Linked DNA regions of Saccharomyces cerevisiae S288C. The gene in region 1 interacts genetically with each later gene. Each region holds a gene or a part of one and is shown in the gene's direction. Other genes may lie near its edges.

Region 1 (9,032 bases):
TATACACTGGATGATCCTTCTGCGCTTATCAGTAGTTCAAATAACGGTACGAACTCAACTTCCTCTTTAAACGCTACTACATTGGAGCTAGGCCAACGAATTCCACTGAGGTACGCTTCCTGGGATTCCCAGGGAAGTACAACGTTTGCATCTGATTCGTTAGTTTGTCCTAACACTAATGAGGATGCATGGCTTTATCCGGATACGTCTGGGTCTCTAGTTTGTAATTTACCATATGAAGTTTCACCAACAAAAATAAGGCTTTATAATTCCCAACGTTCCGATAGTGAAATCTCCGTGTTCCAAATTCTGACTGATCCATCCAGTAGCATAATGAATTTAACGTATCTGGACCCACTAAGTGGGGAGTTGAAGAATTGCGGTGAATTTTGCCCTTTGTATAGCCGAGCCACTTTATTATCAGCAAGCCAAAATGTATCTTCATCCATGGACATGATTACCTTCATCGATAACAACAAGACAGACGTAAAATGGACGTCAGATTTCCAAGACTTTGCGTTTGTGAATGAACTTCCCGTTTCATCGTTAAAATTTGTAGCATTAAATTCATACGGTGGTAGTGTTGGATTATCCGGTTTGGAGCTCTATCAGGACACATTCTCCACTTATGCTAATGATTCTCTCAACGAATATGGCTGCAGCGCGCTTACCAATGATTCGTCGTCATCTACATTGTCGAGCAATGATTGGTATAATGGTCTAACAGGTGAAAGTTATATAGCCGCGAAATATGTTCCAGATCAAAATGAGCCAATTCCACGCGTAAAGTTTTACCCAAACATTATCCACCCCGGTCACTACACTATCAACATGTATACACCAGGGTGTCTTCAGGATAATACGTGCTCCGCAAGAGGTATTGTAAACGTGACCATGTGGAATCAACAAAATAACACAATAATGAAGACGTACTTGATTTACCAGAATAATGATAATCTAAAATATGATCAAATCTACTCGGGATATCTAGATTTCTCACCGGAGATCGTTTTGGAGTATGTCTCAGGAATTTATACAACCAACACTGCAACAGTGGTCGTGGCAGATCAAGTTAATGTCATTACTGTTTCTTTAGATGCTTTTAACACACTTTCAGATTCTAGCAACGCTAAAAAAGAAACTTTATTGAATGGTATTCTCCAATACCAGAAATCAAACTTTACCAGCACGAGATTGAACGAAACAAAGGTAGGTAATACTACTTTGAATCTTTTCCCAGTAAAAAATTACCCTAAAAATTCTTCCCTTTATGCTGACATTTACGATAACAAATTAGTAATTGGTGGAGTAAGCAACCGTATTTCCATTGTCGACCTTAATGACGACTTTGAGGTTACATCAAGTAAAAACCAAACCATTCAAGGTGATGTACATGGTATAACGAAAACTAACCAAGGTTTACTAATATTTGGAGATATTCTTTCATCAAATAATCAATCAGCTGTTTTTTTGTTTAATGGATCATTTGAGAATGTCTTCAACCAATCGAGGACAGTGAATAGTGCCCTTAATATAAGTCTTGCAAATAACGACTTTATTGTTCTTGATAACGATTATGTGGTCAATGCATCTTCCAATGCGCTTATACGGAACTCCAGTTCCTTTAGTCTATCACTTTGGGCGGCTGGTAACAATGGCGATGGCGATGTTTTGTTTTCAGGTGCAGTATCTCATATGCAATATGGTAATTTGAATGGGTCTGTACGTTTTTTGAACGAAAATGAAATAGAGCCACTTAACCTAGAAGGGGGTATTGTACCTTACCTGGGAGCTTATTTAAATGAGTCTGCCACGGCATATGCATATGAGGTGGATTCTCTAAACAAAATTTATTTTTCTAATGAAGTTTATCCTTCCTGGAATTGGTCTAGCGGTATTACTCAAATGCTATACGCTGATAATCAAACTTTACTAGCTGTCAGTGCAGGATCTTCAACCACAGCAGAACTGTCGATTTTTGATTTGAGAAATTTGACCATGATTGCTAATGAAACACTAGGATCAAATGCTAGAATAAATGCTTTAGTTAACTTTGAAAAAAACTGTAGTATGCTTGTCGGCGGAGATTTCCAAATGACTGAGCCGAATTGCACCGGATTATGTCTATACAATTATGAAAGCAAAACTTGGTCTACCTTCCTCAATAACACGATTTTTGGTGAAATCACACAACTTTCCTTCACCAACTCATCAGAATTAATTATCTCAGGCCTTTTTGAAACAAAAGAATACCAATCTATACGTTTAGGATCCTTTAACTTAACCAATTCTACTATGATTCCATTATTGAGTGGTTCTGAAGGGAAACTGAATTCGTTTACTGTCACTGAAGACTCCATAGTGGCATGGAATGATACTTCATTATTTATCTATAGAAACCAAGAATGGAATATTACCTCGTTACCTGGCAATGCTAGCTCTATTAGCTCTGTTTCAGCTATATACACAGATATTGAATCCAACACTTTGAACAAGAGAGGAATCAACAATGTTAATAATGGCAGTATCCTCTTACTTAATGGTAATTTTAATATTTCGCAATACGGATACCTACAAAGTTTGTTGTTTGATTTCCAAAAATGGACCCCATATTTTATTTCAGAAACAACAAATACTTCCAATTACAATCCAATAATTTTTATTAATAGAGACGTTTCAACTGAATTCAACTCTCAGTCACCACTTGCCAATGTGAACATTACTGTGACAAGTCCTCAGTCAACATCATCCCAGCCTCCATCTTCATCGGCAAGCAGTGAATCTAAATCAAAATCGAAGAAGAAGAAAATAGGTCGTGGTTTTGTCGTTTTAATTGGTCTTGCACTAGCATTAGGGACAGTTTCTGTCCTTGGTATTGCAGGCGTCATTCTTGCCTACGTGTTTAAGGATCCAGAGGGTGATTATAAGCCCATTAAACCGCGAATTGATGAGAATGAAATGCTTGATACCGTCCCACCCGAAAAACTTATGAAGTTTGTCTAATCGGGGTTGTATTATATAATATATAACTACTTAAAATAATGAACACTTAATATAATAAACAAAAATAAAATAGGAAAATCCTAAGTTGATCAAAACTTAATAAAAATTACTACTTGCACTGGAATGTTAGTAGTAAATTCAACACGTATTGGAAGTCACTTGGAATGTTACCAATACTGCCTGAGAATGAGTGATTTTAACTTATAATACAAAAGTCCGGGTTACAGCCCTTTAAATTTTTTTCACGGCAATTTTTCTTTACTTGGTGAAGCCATGAAAAATGTCATCGGTTCGAAGAAATAGGCCTAATGATAAACAAAAAGGTAATTCAAGGTTTTTGAACTGCTTTGTTGTTTTTATTTGTATCTTTTTTTGGTACGTTAGTTAAGTTAATTTTTGGCTCCTTGTCCAGCTTTTCCTTCATCTGCTACCGTTATATTTTCAGATATTAATTTAGTAGCAGAGAGCAAGTACCGAAAGGAAAACAAAACAGAATGATTTACAAAATGGCACACGTACAGCTTTTGTTGTTGTATTTTTTTGTGTCAACAGTCAAAGCCTTCTATTTACCAGGTGTAGCGCCTACCACTTACAGGGAAAATGACAACATCCCATTGCTCGTTAATCATTTAACTCCATCAATGAATTATCAACACAAAGATGAGGACGGTAATAACGTTTCTGGCGATAAAGAAAATTTCTTGTACTCATACGACTACTATTACAATAGATTCCATTTTTGTCAGCCTGAAAAAGTCGAAAAGCAACCTGAATCCTTGGGATCCGTTATATTTGGTGATCGAATTTATAATTCACCATTCCAATTGAATATGTTACAAGAAAAAGAGTGTGAATCCCTGTGTAAGACCGTAATTCCGGGAGATGATGCTAAATTCATCAATAAATTGATAAAAAATGGCTTCTTCCAAAACTGGCTTATTGATGGATTACCGGCTGCAAGAGAGGTTTATGATGGCAGAACTAAGACTAGTTTTTATGGTGCTGGCTTCAACCTTGGTTTTGTACAGGTAACTCAAGGAACCGACATTGAGGCTACTCCAAAAGGGGCAGAAACCACCGATAAGGATGTGGAATTGGAAACACGTAATGATCGTAACATGGTGAAAACTTACGAATTGCCTTACTTTGCCAACCATTTCGATATTATGATTGAATATCACGATCGTGGTGAAGGTAACTATCGTGTAGTTGGTGTTATCGTCGAACCGGTTTCCATAAAACGTTCCAGTCCAGGTACATGTGAAACGACTGGCAGCCCATTGATGCTAGACGAAGGAAATGATAATGAAGTTTATTTTACTTATTCCGTTAAATTCAATGAATCAGCGACTTCTTGGGCCACCAGGTGGGACAAATATTTACACGTATATGATCCTTCTATTCAATGGTTTTCTTTGATAAATTTCTCCTTAGTTGTTGTCTTATTGTCATCTGTTGTTATCCATTCGCTATTGCGCGCACTGAAAAGTGATTTCGCACGTTACAACGAGTTAAATTTGGACGATGATTTTCAAGAAGATTCGGGTTGGAAATTGAATCATGGTGATGTTTTTCGTTCGCCAAGTCAATCGCTAACCCTTTCAATTTTGGTTGGTTCAGGAGTTCAATTATTTTTGATGGTAACTTGCAGTATCTTCTTCGCTGCATTGGGTTTCCTATCACCTAGTTCTAGAGGTTCCTTAGCCACTGTTATGTTTATCTTATATGCATTATTCGGGTTTGTCGGCTCTTATACATCTATGGGCATCTACAAATTTTTCAATGGGCCATACTGGAAGGCAAACTTGATATTGACTCCACTTCTAGTTCCTGGTGCTATTCTGCTAATAATTATTGCGTTGAACTTTTTCTTAATGTTTGTTCATTCTTCTGGTGTCATACCAGCAAGTACTCTGTTTTTTATGGTTTTTCTATGGTTTTTGTTCTCAATCCCATTATCATTTGCTGGTTCATTGATTGCCAGGAAAAGATGTCACTGGGATGAACATCCAACCAAGACAAACCAAATCGCAAGACAAATACCCTTCCAGCCTTGGTATTTAAAGACTATACCAGCTACTTTGATTGCTGGTATCTTTCCATTTGGCTCCATCGCCGTTGAGTTGTATTTCATATACACAAGTTTATGGTTTAATAAGATTTTTTACATGTTTGGTTTCCTCTTTTTCTCTTTCCTCCTATTAACTTTGACAAGTTCACTCGTCACTATTTTGATCACTTATCATTCCTTATGCCTGGAGAACTGGAAGTGGCAATGGAGAGGATTCATAATTGGAGGCGCCGGTTGTGCTTTGTATGTGTTTATTCATTCTATTTTATTCACCAAATTTAAGTTGGGTGGATTCACGACTATTGTCTTATACGTGGGATACTCCTCAGTCATTTCATTACTCTGCTGTTTGGTAACGGGGTCAATTGGCTTTATCAGCAGTATGCTCTTTGTTAGAAAAATCTACTCATCCATTAAAGTTGACTAGGCCAACGAAAAAGAGGTCCTATATGTTGGGTTAGGGCGTTTTTTATTTATTTCTCTACTGTTTATCTTTTTTAACAAAGAAAATGCTAGGCCCTATGGCCTTTGGACATGATACATAGTTTTTAGTAATATTTTTTTCAAAAAGATTAAAAGTACTATAGGATTCGAAGTTGTAATTTTTGGTGTATATACATTTATTTATTTGAATCTTTTTTCCATGATTCTGGAATGACATTCTGCGTTACAGTTTGGGAATAAATGCTCCTTTAAGGAAATAATATACAGCTTTAGTGTACAGGGTTAATCTATAGCCACATTAAAAGGACTTGATTATGACTTAAAATAAGTGACACTGACGCTTTAATATTCAGTCCGGGTGATGCTGTCATCTAGGACAAAACAATGGGAGTGGATAAGTAAGCAAGTAATAAGATAAAACAGTATTAGAAATTGGTAGTAGGCTGAAGCTTGTTGAAGCTGGTGGACAGAAAAACGCTTATATTGTGAAGATCCTTTTGGATGTCCAACTTTAAGAATTTTACTTTAAATTCCTTTGAAGATTATTACGGAAAGCCCTCTGAAACGCCAAAAATGGAGGAAGAGAAATTGGAAGTAACAAATGTGAATGCGTCCTCTTCAAAAAAAGTACATAAAAGCAAAAAGAGCACTTCAAAATATGACCAAAAGAATGTATTTAGAAACTCAATGACAGGAATTGCACAAATACTGCCAACAAAACCTGTGAAAATTATAGAGCAGAATATTGATTTTGCCAATCCGAAGAGCTTCGACCTCCTGCAATCTACACATACTATTTGCTTTAATAAAAGAATTAACACTACTAATACCAAGTTGAATGTGGAAACTCATACTTCTAGTGATATTGACAACGACATATTGCACGTTGGAGCCCCCACAGACTTGGGGGGAAACAGTAATGACGAAGCGGAAACAAGGCAACTAAGGAAGTTTCGATGGTCCAATAATAAAGAAAAAAGTCTTTGTGAAAAGTTAACAGTCATATATTGGGCCCTCTTGCTCCACACAACAAAGAGAGCAAGTAAAAGGAGACCTATATTATGTCATCAAATGATAGCTGAGTTTTTTAACAGAGTTTATAAGGAGAAATCAAGAGTACCTATAACTTCAAGATATATTAGAGATAACCTCGTCGCTTGGGTCACTCAAGGAAAGGAATTGCATGAAAAAGGTTGGGTAGGGGATGCCAAAACTGGCGATTTGCAAGAACAGTTCAATATAGCCACTGTCAAATTATATGAAAGCGCAGAAGACGGGCGTCTTTCCATTGGTAAAGACAAACCCTTTCGAGAGGAAAACACCGGCAGTGATAGTTTGGTTCGAGCGGAAGAGGACTCTACCGCTGTCACTAATGAAAATGGACATATTTCTTCAGAAAAAAACTTGAAAAAAGATCGTAGAGAGTCTATAAGGAACCAAATCCTGACTTTAGACCTAAATGACGAAGATTTTTTCCAAAATGTAATGAAAGTTTTATCAGCCATTGATGAACCAGAACTGAGACAATATGTAATCGTAATCTCAGAATTAGTTAGCATGGAAATGGATGATGGTAAAACGGTACGAGAAAAGCTCCGAGACGTTGAATTGAATATTAATAGGTTGCAGGTTGATATAAAAGAAATAAAGGAAATGCTTGTTACACTGATAAACAAATGACTGAAAAAAGCAACTCCTGGATCGTTCGAACATTCTCACTCCATTAATTGTATGTTAGCTCAGGAATTCAACTGGAAGAAAGTCCAGGCAAGTACCTGACTTATTTTCTAGAGGACCCCCCAGAGATAAGTCTGGTGATGTGGTCCTTTAATAATTTCATAGGGACAATTCATTTTGCGTTTTTAATTTTGCTCGGTGAACAAAGGATGGCAGAGCATGTTATCGTTTTCTTTTTTTTTTCCTGTTTTAGAGAAAAAGGTTATATATGTAATAATACTCTGATATATGTACACAAATAATAGGTTTAGGTAAGGAATTTATATAATCGTAAGGATATCATTGATAAGGGAAATTTTTTTTTTTTTTTTTCAAACAAATACTATGATAATTAAAATGAAGAAAAAACGTCAGTCATGAAAAATTAAGAGAGATGATGGAGCGTCTCACTTCAAACGCATTATTCTAGCATGGCCTTGTACCACGGTTTGTCGTCATGTTGTAAATCCTCTAAATCGTAATTATTACCTCTTCTGGATGAAGGAATCCAGCCTTCAGATTTCCAAGGTAAAACACCTTCTTCCCATAATTCTTGAATTTCTTCTAACGATAGGCCTTTAGTTTCTGGAACAAAGAAAAAGACATAAAAAAACATGGCAACCAAACAGCCCATGAAGACATAACCGTAGTAGAAGTTAATGGCAGATGTGATGAATGGGGTGAAAAATGCAATCAAGAACCCCCATACCCAATTGGAAGCAGAGGCCAACGCCATACATTTCGACTTGACTCTCAGTGGGAATGATTCTGCTGTGATGACCCAGGCAACTGGCGCCCAGGTTGTGGCATAACAGAAAATATAAAAACAGGTAAAGACAATCATACAGTTACCGGCACCTTTAGAAGATGGCTGGCTTTTACCGTGAGGATATAATCTAGTAACACCAACAGAGGCGTAGATGACCATACAAGCCATCATAGTGGCAGCGCCCAAAAGTAAACATTTACGATGTCCCAAGTTTTCGACAGTCCACAAACTAAAGAAAGTGGAGGCAAAGTTGACTACACCAATGACAATGGATGTTTCAAAGGAATCATCCAGGCCAACTGACTTGAAAATAACGGTACCGTAGTAGAAAAAATAATTGTTACCGGTTAATTGTTGGAACATTTGAACAAACACACCCATCAACAAACGTTGAAATACTTTGGTCTTGGTGGAAAATAATTCCCCCCAGGACGCATTGCCAGCCAGTTTTTCAGCTTCTATACCGGCCATGATCAGATCTAACTCTGCCTGGACGGCAGGATCCTCTGGTGACACCTTGTTAGACTTAGCAATGGAACGCTTGGCGTCTTCTACCTTATTCACCTCACATAAATAACGTGGGGATTCAGGAACTAACGTCAAAGCGCCAATCATAAATAATGACCAAGCGAAACATAGCCCTAATGGAACTCTCCATTGAACTGAGTTCGAATAGCTCTTTGTACCGTAATTAGTACAGTAGCCCAAAAAGATACCTGCAGTAATCATCAGCTGATAACAAGAAACTAGTGTGCCTCTCAAGTGCTTTGGAGCAATTTCAGAGATCAACATAGGACATAAGACGGCGATGCCGCCGACACCCAAACCAGATATGATTCTACCAATGAAATATTGGTACCACTTGTTGATAGAGGCAATTTGAATGATAATACCAACTATATAAACCGAGACGACAATCGAAAGACCCTTTTTACGGCCATACATATCTCCACCTTTGGAAAGTATAATACCACCAAAGGCACAGCCAATATTGAAAATGGCGACGATTAAACCTGTTCTGACGTTTGA
Region 2 (3,934 bases), 260 kb from region 1:
GAAACCCTGATAAACCCAAGAGTATAGATTTGATCATGGCGATCAAAAATCCTTCTTTTCTTAACGGCTATAAATCCGAGATACTAGAGCTAAAAAATAGCCGATCCCACGTCAACGTGCAGGTTTACCTTACACAGAAAACAGCTGTTACAAAGGCAGCAAACGCACGAGACCAATTAATACATTTTGATGATATAATGACCGAACTGACAAGCTTCGCCCACATCGGCAATGCAAGACCTAATTTTAGCAATGTAATTGAAAACGCAATAAAAAGTACGCCGCCTGGAGATTCATTAGCGGTCGTGTGCTGCGGCCCTCCTGTTCTGGTGGACGATGTTAGAAACACCGTTTCTCAAAAACTCCTCGGTTACCCAGAGAGAATTATAGAGTATTTCGAGGAATATCAGTGTTGGTAAATCTTCTCTCCGGCTCCTTCTGATCCTACGCCCACCTATATCTACATATATCTACGGCACTAAAAACTTTTATGTACCGCATAAAAGGTGCTCTTTAGCAACTATTTTTAGTTAATTATTTGCGTTTTAGCTTTCAGGAATTTGCTTGCTAAGACGATGTCTAATAAATCCGGTACTTCTTTACTTGCAATTAATTACTAAGCGGCGCCTGAATTTTTCCGGCTTGATGCCGAGCAAAAATTAACTCTAAATCCCTTTCTGGGAACGAGTCTTTGAAGTTCTACGGTCTTTTGTCTCAGGAAAATATGTCCCGAGAAAGATGGAATAAGTATGGATTTTGTCCTTAACCAGTGGAGGTGGCGCTGCAGTCCTTCTTTTCAGACCCAAGCAAACAGACCAAAGGACATTTTTTTGGAAAATGTTAAGAATCAACCCTCCGAAATCTTTTCACGGCTCAAATTACTGCGGCCTTTTTCTGCTTCTTAAAAATGGGAGCATGATTATTTAATTAGCATTGCATCTGCGTGCACCGTAACTACTACAGTACTTTTACTGCCGCTGAGACGACAGCACGATCTGTTTTAACGTCGTAGGTGTATTTTTTTTTTTCCCGCTAAAAGAGCACCGCCATAATAATGACTTACCTCCTCCAATCCTTCTAGATGTTTTTCTTTAAACTCCTACAGTGAATTAGATTATTGCAAGTGCAAATTAAAAAAAAACCTAAAAAAAAAAAAGAAGGAAATAGTTTTTGTCCATACCGGACTATGGCTTTCATTAACGAATTAGAGCGCCGCTGTTATCCTTTTATTAACTTTTTATCGTGAATCATATCTGCCCCTCTCTCGGTTGATAGTATAAATATGTTGGTTTTAGTAGCTTATTAGTGTGCGCATGTCTTTTTTCTTGTTCCTGGCTATTACAATTCCTGAAAATATTCAAAAGCGACACTAGCCTACCTTAGTTATACTATGTCTAACGAATCTAACGACCTTGAAAAAAACATTTCGCACTTGGACCCGACCGGTGTTGACAATGCTTATATTCCACCTGAACAGCCGGAAACGAAGCATTCGCGTTTTAATATTGACAGAGATACCTTAAGAAACCACTTTATCGCTGCTGTGGGTGAGTTTTGCGGTACCTTCATGTTTTTATGGTGTGCTTACGTCATTTGTAATGTCGCTAACCATGATGTGGCTTTGACAACCGAGCCTGAGGGCTCTCATCCAGGTCAATTGATCATGATTGCCCTTGGTTTCGGTTTCTCTGTGATGTTTTCTATCTGGTGTTTCTGGTGGGGCTTTGAACCCAGCCGTTTCTCTCTCTTTGTGTTTGGCCAGAGCCATCTCACCAGCCAGATGTGTAGTGATGTGGTTTCCTCAGATCATTGCTGGGATGGCTGCTGGTGGTGCCGCTAGTGCTATGACTCCAGGCAAGGTTCTCTTTACTAATGCTTTGGGTTTAGGCTGTTCCAGATCTAGGGGGTTGTTTTTGGAAATGTTTGGTACTGCTGTGTTGTGTTTAACAGTTTTGATGACTGCTGTTGAAAAACGTGAAACTAACTTTATGGCTGCGCTTCCAATTGGTATTTCTTTATTCATGGCTCACATGGCTTTGACCGGTTACACTGGTACCGGTGTCAACCCTGCAAGATCTCTGGGTGCCGCCGTTGCTGCCAGATATTTCCCTCATTACCACTGGATCTACTGGATTAGCCCACTTTTGGGTGCCTTCTTAGCCTGGTCAGTGTGGCAATTATTACAAATCCTTGATTACACTACATACGTTAATGCCGAAAAGGCGGCAGGTCAAAAGAAGGAAGACTGAGAGTAGTCTGCTCAGAATTTTATCTTTTTTGGCATAACGCTCCCATCGTAGTTTAATTTAATTTAATTTAATTTAATATAATAATATCTTATTTTTCATATTTACTGTCCTTTATTTTTTTTTTGTTTTTATCTCTTCTGGTCAGAGTTCTGTTTTTACGTAAGCGGCAGAAGTATGCATTCTTCACATTTTTTCCTCCTAAAGGCAACATTGAGGCCAAACTTTGGAAACAAAGATGATGTGAAGTAATTATTTACCCATCAGAAATCTATGACAAGATAAGTGTACTGCACTGGATATGAGCATTGCATCTCAGAAAAAGGTTAAGCCATCGTTTGTTTGCTTGCGGTGTAAGCAAAGGAAAATCAAATGTGATAAACTTTGGCCTACTTGCTCCAAATGCAAGGCCTCATCCTCGATTTGTAGCTACGAAGTGGAACCAGGACGGATTAACAAATCTCCCACTATCGAAAATGCCCCACATAGAGACATTAGAAACATTACTCCTGCATCGATGTCCGCAAGTGGTTCCTTTACTTCCATACTTAATCCAAGTACTAAAGACTGGGAAATGAAAAATTTTGCCATGAATTTATCGAATGCACACGACAAGCTTGTTGTAATGAATAACACAACCATCGTTGATAGTCCTTTTGCCTTCCATAGCATTCTTCAACATGATTTGTATGCGAAGGCCTTGACCACCTGCATACATGAGAGGATACTGATTGATGTCGAACGCCATCGTGAAAACGTTTCTGCCAACAATAAAAAAAGAGAACTTAACTTAACAATCGGTGATATTGGACCTTTGTTTTTTATTGATAAAGCTGCACTTAAATTTATTGAAAATACCTCAAAAACAAGCAAATTGTATCCTCCAATAGATTTTCTGTATAACACGTATGATTATGAACAAGCGCATCCTGAAGAAAATAATGATAAAATTTCCATAAACATCCTTTTGGAAGAGTTATCCAAATATTTCCTCAATAAGAATGAGGTTGATGGCTTAATCGTGGACTTTTACAAAACAATATATCCGGTCTATCCGTTACTGGAAATATCATTATTCGAAGATAACATAAGGGAGCTGTTGCAATTGAATGAATTTAATGGGTATAACATTGTATTTGCGGGCAAAGACTCTAGAAGAAAACTGGAGACAATAACACTGCTAACTATCATATTGGCTTTTTCTTACAGACGTTTGAGTCTAAGTACTAGTCATTCATTTAAAGAATCTTTTGGTGTAAAATCGAATAATTTAACGCTACTCGCTCATAAACTTCTTGCTCTCATGAACGTTTTTCAATATGTTAATGAACATACACTTTGTTGTCTGCTCTATTTTTTCATATTGCGGTATTTGAATCCAGATCAAGCTGACATGTATCCTACTCACAGTGACATACTAAACCTAAAATTTTTGGAGAATGTAGCAATAAAGCTAGGACTGAATGAAGAACCCTTCCAATACACTCGATACGTCAGCGAATCGGACGATTATCCAAGATTATTCAATTTAAGAAGGAAATTATGGCTTGGCGTGCAATTTTTGAAGTTTGGAATATTGATTCCAGAAGGAGATTCTGACATTCTAAGTTTGGAATATTTAAGATCCTTTATGAAAACTGACGAATCTCTACCAGAACTATTTGAGAGAAATTACGCTTCTACTAATA
Region 3 (5,712 bases), on another chromosome or scaffold:
TCTTGGCCATCTTTTGTATTAGTGTCATAAGGCCTGGGATAGCTAAAATTTCCCAATTGAAGATGGAACGGCCGAATAAGGTAGCAACAAAATCAAAATCAGGAACCTTCAGTAGCTGGATATTAACAGTTTCGACATGAGGGAAGGGAGTCATCAATTTGAATTTCACTCTAGCATGAGCCTTGAAAGCAATGTCTGACACAGAAACAGGGATGGTGATACCAAAAATTTTGGCCTTAACAACCGCTAATTCATTAACGTAATTTCTGACTTGCTTAGCACTCATGTCGCATAAATCGTGAGGAGTAAAAGAAATACCCCAGTCCATCACAACAACATCGGATGCAGTGTTTTGGAAAGTCTTCACCAAATCAACTCTGGGGGGTTTAACACCAAGTGTCAACTCATCGATCCATAGTTGAGTAATAAATTTGGGAATCGCCTCATTAGTAGCCATTTGTTCATTAGCTTGCTGAACGATTAATTGACTAACGGAAGGTTCTAAAATGGGCCAGTACTTATCCAAAAAGGCATTCAACCATTCTAGGGATTCATAGTCGTTTTCCACTTTCTGCACCGTGAACTCTTTCTGGACTAACTCTCTTATGGAACCTCTGTATTTTTTAGCAGAGGTTCTATACAACAATGAAGTGATAACGATGACAAAAAAGGCCGACCCCATTGAAAACTTATAATGACCAAGTGCAAATGATGCCACGCCTCCGATAAAGAAAATGGCTACCGAATGATACCAGTCACCGTAAAGGCTGTCCGGTATGATGTTATCTAAGAAGGTTTCTCTAGTCATATCCATCAATTCATCATCTAAAGTTAATTCGTCTTTGTCTTCCCAGCCACCAATCTGTTTCCAGCCGACATAAGAAGCTTCATGGATACTTCTCTTGAAGCTTTCATCACTAGCATGTGCCGCCTTCTCAGATGACACGCTTTTACTGGATTCGGTTTCCTCTTTCGTCTTTGGAGGTTCTAACTTATCTATCCCATTTATGTTAGCTACTTGGGCTGTTTCGGGCTTCTTTGGTGCTGTTACCCCAGTATCTTCTTTGGCCATATTGTATGTACCACGCAATTGAAGTTTTCAGAATGCACTAGCTATCTTTTTTTATCTTAGCTATTCTTCTTCAATTATCCTACTTATTCTTCAGCAAAAAAAAAATAATAAGCTAAGACAATGCTATACAAGTCAATTACCAGCCAGTAAGTCCAAATTGGAGTAGCCAATGCTATTAGTTGATAATTTTGACGGCCGATTATACTATTCCAATTGCAGCAACATCCCTGTCCCTTAGCTTTTTGAGGGGCCTTTTGTTATAATTTTTCATGCAGCATTCCGGTCGCCAAAGTTGTTATCACTTCTAACGTAAATCGTTTTCTCGTTATGTCCGCTATTTTAGAATGAGAATAATGGATAAAATTGGCCTAAAAAGGGAGCGAGTATAACGTTACTGAGATACAATTGTACATTTTGCCATGGAAATGAGCCAACTAGTCTAATGAGATTTTCAATGCTTTATTTCTTTTTTTAGTTTCTCATTTTATTGTTTCTCTAGTTATTAGTCCTTTGGTTATTTTTATGTCACCACCTCTTGTCACATGACCATTTTTGTTACTTGCTTGGTTTTACAATGATTTATACATTCTTGGGCCTCTCTTGACATATTTTTATCGTCATAATAAGTTCTTCATTCGTTCTCTAAAACAACAAAGTTAGACTCCATGGCCAAGTTGGTTAAGGCGTGCGACTGTTAATCGCAAGATCGTGAGTTCAACCCTCACTGGGGTCGTTAATTTTTTAATTTTTCTCCTACACTGTTGCTATGTCGGAGTTATCTCATAAGAGCTGAAAATATGTGGTAAATTTAGTCAGTATCCTTCGAGGATCAGCTAGAGCCTATTCAATGCAATTGTCATTAATCAGTGGCTTGGTAAGGCAATAGAATTCAGTTATAAAATATAATATTACTAGAACAGGAGCATTATGGTATCAGCCAACGGCGACTTGCACTTGCCAATTTCTAACGAACAGTGCATGCCGGAAAACAATGGATCTCTTGGATTTGAGGCCCCCACTCCGAGACAGATTCTCAGGGTTACGTTAAATTTGAAATACTTAATTGATAAGGTCGTACCTATTGTTTACGATCCCAATGATATTGTTTGTGACCATTCTGAGATTTTATCTCCAAAAGTTGTGAAGCTGGCTTATGAAGCATGTGGCGGGAACCCTAAAGACAAGGCCAACAAAAGAAAATATCAATCTGTCATTATTTTTTCACTTCTTAAAGTTTGTGAGTGGTATTCCATATTGGCCACTATGGAAGTGCACAATGCCAAACTTTACGAAACCAGAAATTTAGCCTCACAACAGTTATGTAAATTGTTAATTGAAAGGGAGGAGACAAGAGACCTGCAGTTTCTTTTCATGCAGTTACTGCTGCGTCGGTACGTAATCAACGAGAACGATGAAGATCAAGAACCGTTGAATGCCTTGGAACTTGCCACAGATATGCACTGTACTACAGTGATAGGATCGAGTGGATTTCAGCGTTGTTTAAAATGGATATGGAGAGGATGGATAGTCCAAAATGGCTTGGATCCCACAACTTTTATCAAGGACGATTCACTGGCGGAAGTGTCATTGATCTCTCATTTCAACCCCGTAAGATTAAAGGCGCCTGTATACCAAAATTATTTGCAGATGATCTTCTCATTTTTGTTTCTAGGGCTTTATACCTTGGTGGTTAATGGTAAGGACTCTGAGAGAGTCCAATCTTTCGATTTGTTAGAAAGCATATTTTATGTTTTCAATACTGGTTTCATCTTGGATGAGCTCACTAAGCTTTATTATATTGGTTATGCGCACCTATCGTTTTGGAATTTATTTAATGATACCACATATTTGATAATCACGTTTGCTATGGGGTTCCGTGCAATGAGCGTAACGCCCCTTAATGCAAAATACTCTTCAGAAGATTGGGATAAAATATCATATAGAGTCTTATCCTGTGCAGCACCATTTGTGTGGTCGAGACTCCTACTATACCTTGAATCACAAAGGTTTATTGGGATTATGTTGGTTATCCTAAAACATATGATGAAAGAATCCATTGTATTTTTCTTCCTTCTATTCTTAATAATGATAGGATTCACTCAAGGTTTCTTAGGTTTGGATTCCGCAGATGGTAAGAGAGATATCACCGGACCCATCCTGGGTAATTTAACAATCACCGTTTTGGGTCTTGGTAGTTTTGATGTTTTCGAAGAATTCGCTCCCCCATATGCGGCAATACTGTATTATGGTTACTATTTTATTGTTTCGGTTATCCTTTTGAATATATTAATTGCTTTGTATTCGACTGCGTACCAAAAAGTTATTGACAATGCAGATGACGAGTACATGGCTTTGATGTCACAAAAGACGTTGAGATACATTAGAGCACCTGATGAAGATGTCTATGTTTCTCCATTGAACTTAATTGAAGTGTTCATGACACCTATCTTTCGTATTCTTCCACCGAAGCGTGCTAAAGATTTGAGCTATACTGTAATGACAATAGTGTACAGCCCATTTTTGTTGCTTATTTCTGTTAAAGAAACTCGGGAGGCTAGAAGGATAAAATATAACAGGATGAAAAGGTTAAACGATGATGCCAATGAATATGATACTCCATGGGATTTGACAGATGGCTACTTGGATGATGATGACGGTTTGTTTTCTGATAACCGAAATTCTGGCATGAGAGCCACCCAGTTAAAGAATTCCCGTTCGCTAAAACTGCAAAGAACAGCAGAGCAGGAAGATGTCCATTTTAAAGTCCCTAAGAAGTGGTATAAAAACGTTAAAAAATGCAGTCCCTCCTTCGAACAGTATGATAACGATGACACTGAAGATGATGCTGGTGAAGATAAAGATGAAGTCAAAGAGCTCACTAAGAAAGTGGAAAACTTGACAGCTGTAATTACCGATCTACTCGAAAAATTAGACATAAAGGATAAGAAAGAGTAAACGACATGTGTTCAAATACTGCTTAATTAATTTCTCAGAAATCCATATATATATATATATATTGCTCCTCATTGCAACTTTGTAAATTTAATGTTCCTTTAATTTATCATTATTTACAATATTAACTAATCCATCTCCCGATTTTCGGCATAAAATAAGTTTATATTTTGGTCTACATGAAAACAAAAGTTTAACTAAACTAACGTGTACAAACCACTTTGAAACGTATATAAAGGTCTAATAAAAACGACTGGCGTTTTGAAAGATAATATAATGATCTAATGCAGTTAAAAAATTTACAAATTATAAGAAGAAAAGAAAAACAACGATTACGGTAAAAAATGAAAACTCCCTCTCCTTTCTAGGTACGATAAATTATGACTTTCATCTTTCCCGTTTTGAAGATCTATTTATCTCAATTTGCCCAGACTTTTTTTTTATATATATTTATTTTCCCCTCTCTAACAACTGCAAGCACTGTTTGCGCTGGTCCCATCATTAGCAGCGTTCAAATCCACTCTTTGATTGTTCGACTCACGTTCGTTACTTGCACTATTTTGCTCTTCAGCCGTCTTCAGTGGTATCTTTTCACCGATTCCCAAAAATACATCGTTAACATTCTCTCCTGTCTTTGCACTTGTTTCAAAGAACAACAAGCCCTTTTCTTCCGCTAGCTTTTCACCTTCTTCCCTTGCGACTTTTCTTTCCCCACCTTCTTGCAGCATATCGATCTTGTTACCAACTAACGCAATGATGATATCCTTTGATGCCTGTTCATGTAATTCCTTAACCCAGTGGCGCGCTTTAATAAAGGATTGTGGTTTTGTAACGTCGTATACTACAAGAGCAGCTTGTGCGTTTCTATAGTACATAGGTGCTAAAGATGCAAATCTCTCTTGCCCAGCAGTGTCCCATATTTCAAACTTAACAGTATGTTCATTTATAGTAACTCTTTGAGTGAGGAATGCTGCACCAATGGTGGGCTCCTTATTTTCGGCAAAATCATTAGATACAAACCTTAGGACTATTGACGATTTACCAACTGCTGCCTCACCCAACAGTACCAACTTTATGGAAGTGACTGATGTGTTCATTTTTTTGTGTGATAAAAGGGATATTTTTTTATAGCTTAGATAAGTCGACGATCTTGCTTTTTATTTTTAAAATCGTTGCCACTTTTATAAGATAAGCTGCTCGTATTTTCACCTCACTTCTCTTTCTTTGTCTTTTCGGGGATATTGTTTTAGCAAAAAGCCCCATAATGCAAACCGAGAAAACCAAAAAAAAAAAAAACACGTATGAGGTGACAAGAAACTAGATAATCAGCAGACTAATATCTATAAAATAAATCCTCTGGTATATACCTACCTCAGCATAAGTTTATATCGTCATAATCTAGGTTTTGGCTTTGTTGTTGCCTCCGGGTTCATAACTATTGAAGTAGCATTGGAGACAATTGAGGGTGTTCCAGAATCACCAAAGAACGCCACTGTTACTGTCAAGTCATCTCTGTATCTTCTACTCATCGGCGATGGTATACTTACCAATGCCGATACATATTCTTTTCTTCCGCCCGCACTTAATGCATTTCTAATTAAATGAGTGGCGACGTTTTTGTCTTCAATAAGATACTCTGGGTTTGATCCTGATGGTGAGCTCGAATTATTATCCTTGTACCTGAATGC

Evidence for each region. Genes that interact genetically often act in the same process or in processes that back each other up.
Region 2: mutations in EMP70 (region 1) and YLL053C together harm fitness more than expected from each alone (negative genetic interaction), as found in Saccharomyces cerevisiae (one large-scale study listed by BioGRID).
Region 3: mutations in EMP70 (region 1) and YVC1 together harm fitness more than expected from each alone (negative genetic interaction), as found in Saccharomyces cerevisiae (one large-scale study listed by BioGRID).

Annotation. Positions count from the first base shown.
Region 1 is NC_001144.5:290,560-299,591, reverse strand, and holds EMP70 (Emp70p), read left to right. Parts: upstream 1-3,497; coding exon 3,498-5,501; downstream 5,502-9,032. Other genes in the region: RAX2 (Rax2p), read left to right, coding at 1-3,003; SRL2 (Srl2p), read left to right, coding at 6,020-7,198; galactose permease GAL2, read right to left, coding at 7,656-9,032. UniProt on the Saccharomyces cerevisiae protein: With TMN2 and TMN3, plays a critical role in the late stages of a nutrient-controlled pathway notably regulating FLO11 gene expression. Acts downstream of RAS2 and TOR. Essential for cell adhesion and filamentous growth.
Region 2 is NC_001144.5:33,818-37,751, reverse strand, and holds YLL053C (uncharacterized protein), read left to right. Parts: upstream 1-1,790; coding exon 1,791-2,249; downstream 2,250-3,934. Other genes in the region: FRE6 (putative ferric-chelate reductase), read left to right, coding at 1-419; AQY2 (Aqy2p), read left to right, coding at 1,391-1,840; YLL054C (uncharacterized protein), read left to right, coding at 2,548-3,934.
Region 3 is NC_001147.6:485,708-491,419, forward strand, and holds YVC1 (Yvc1p), read left to right. Parts: upstream 1-1,999; coding exon 2,000-4,027; downstream 4,028-5,712. Other genes in the region: TCB1 (tricalbin), read right to left, coding at 1-1,072; Rab family GTPase VPS21, read right to left, coding at 4,489-5,121; type 2C protein phosphatase PTC5, read right to left, coding at 5,416-5,712. UniProt on the Saccharomyces cerevisiae protein: Required for release of calcium ions from the vacuole in response to hyperosmotic shock.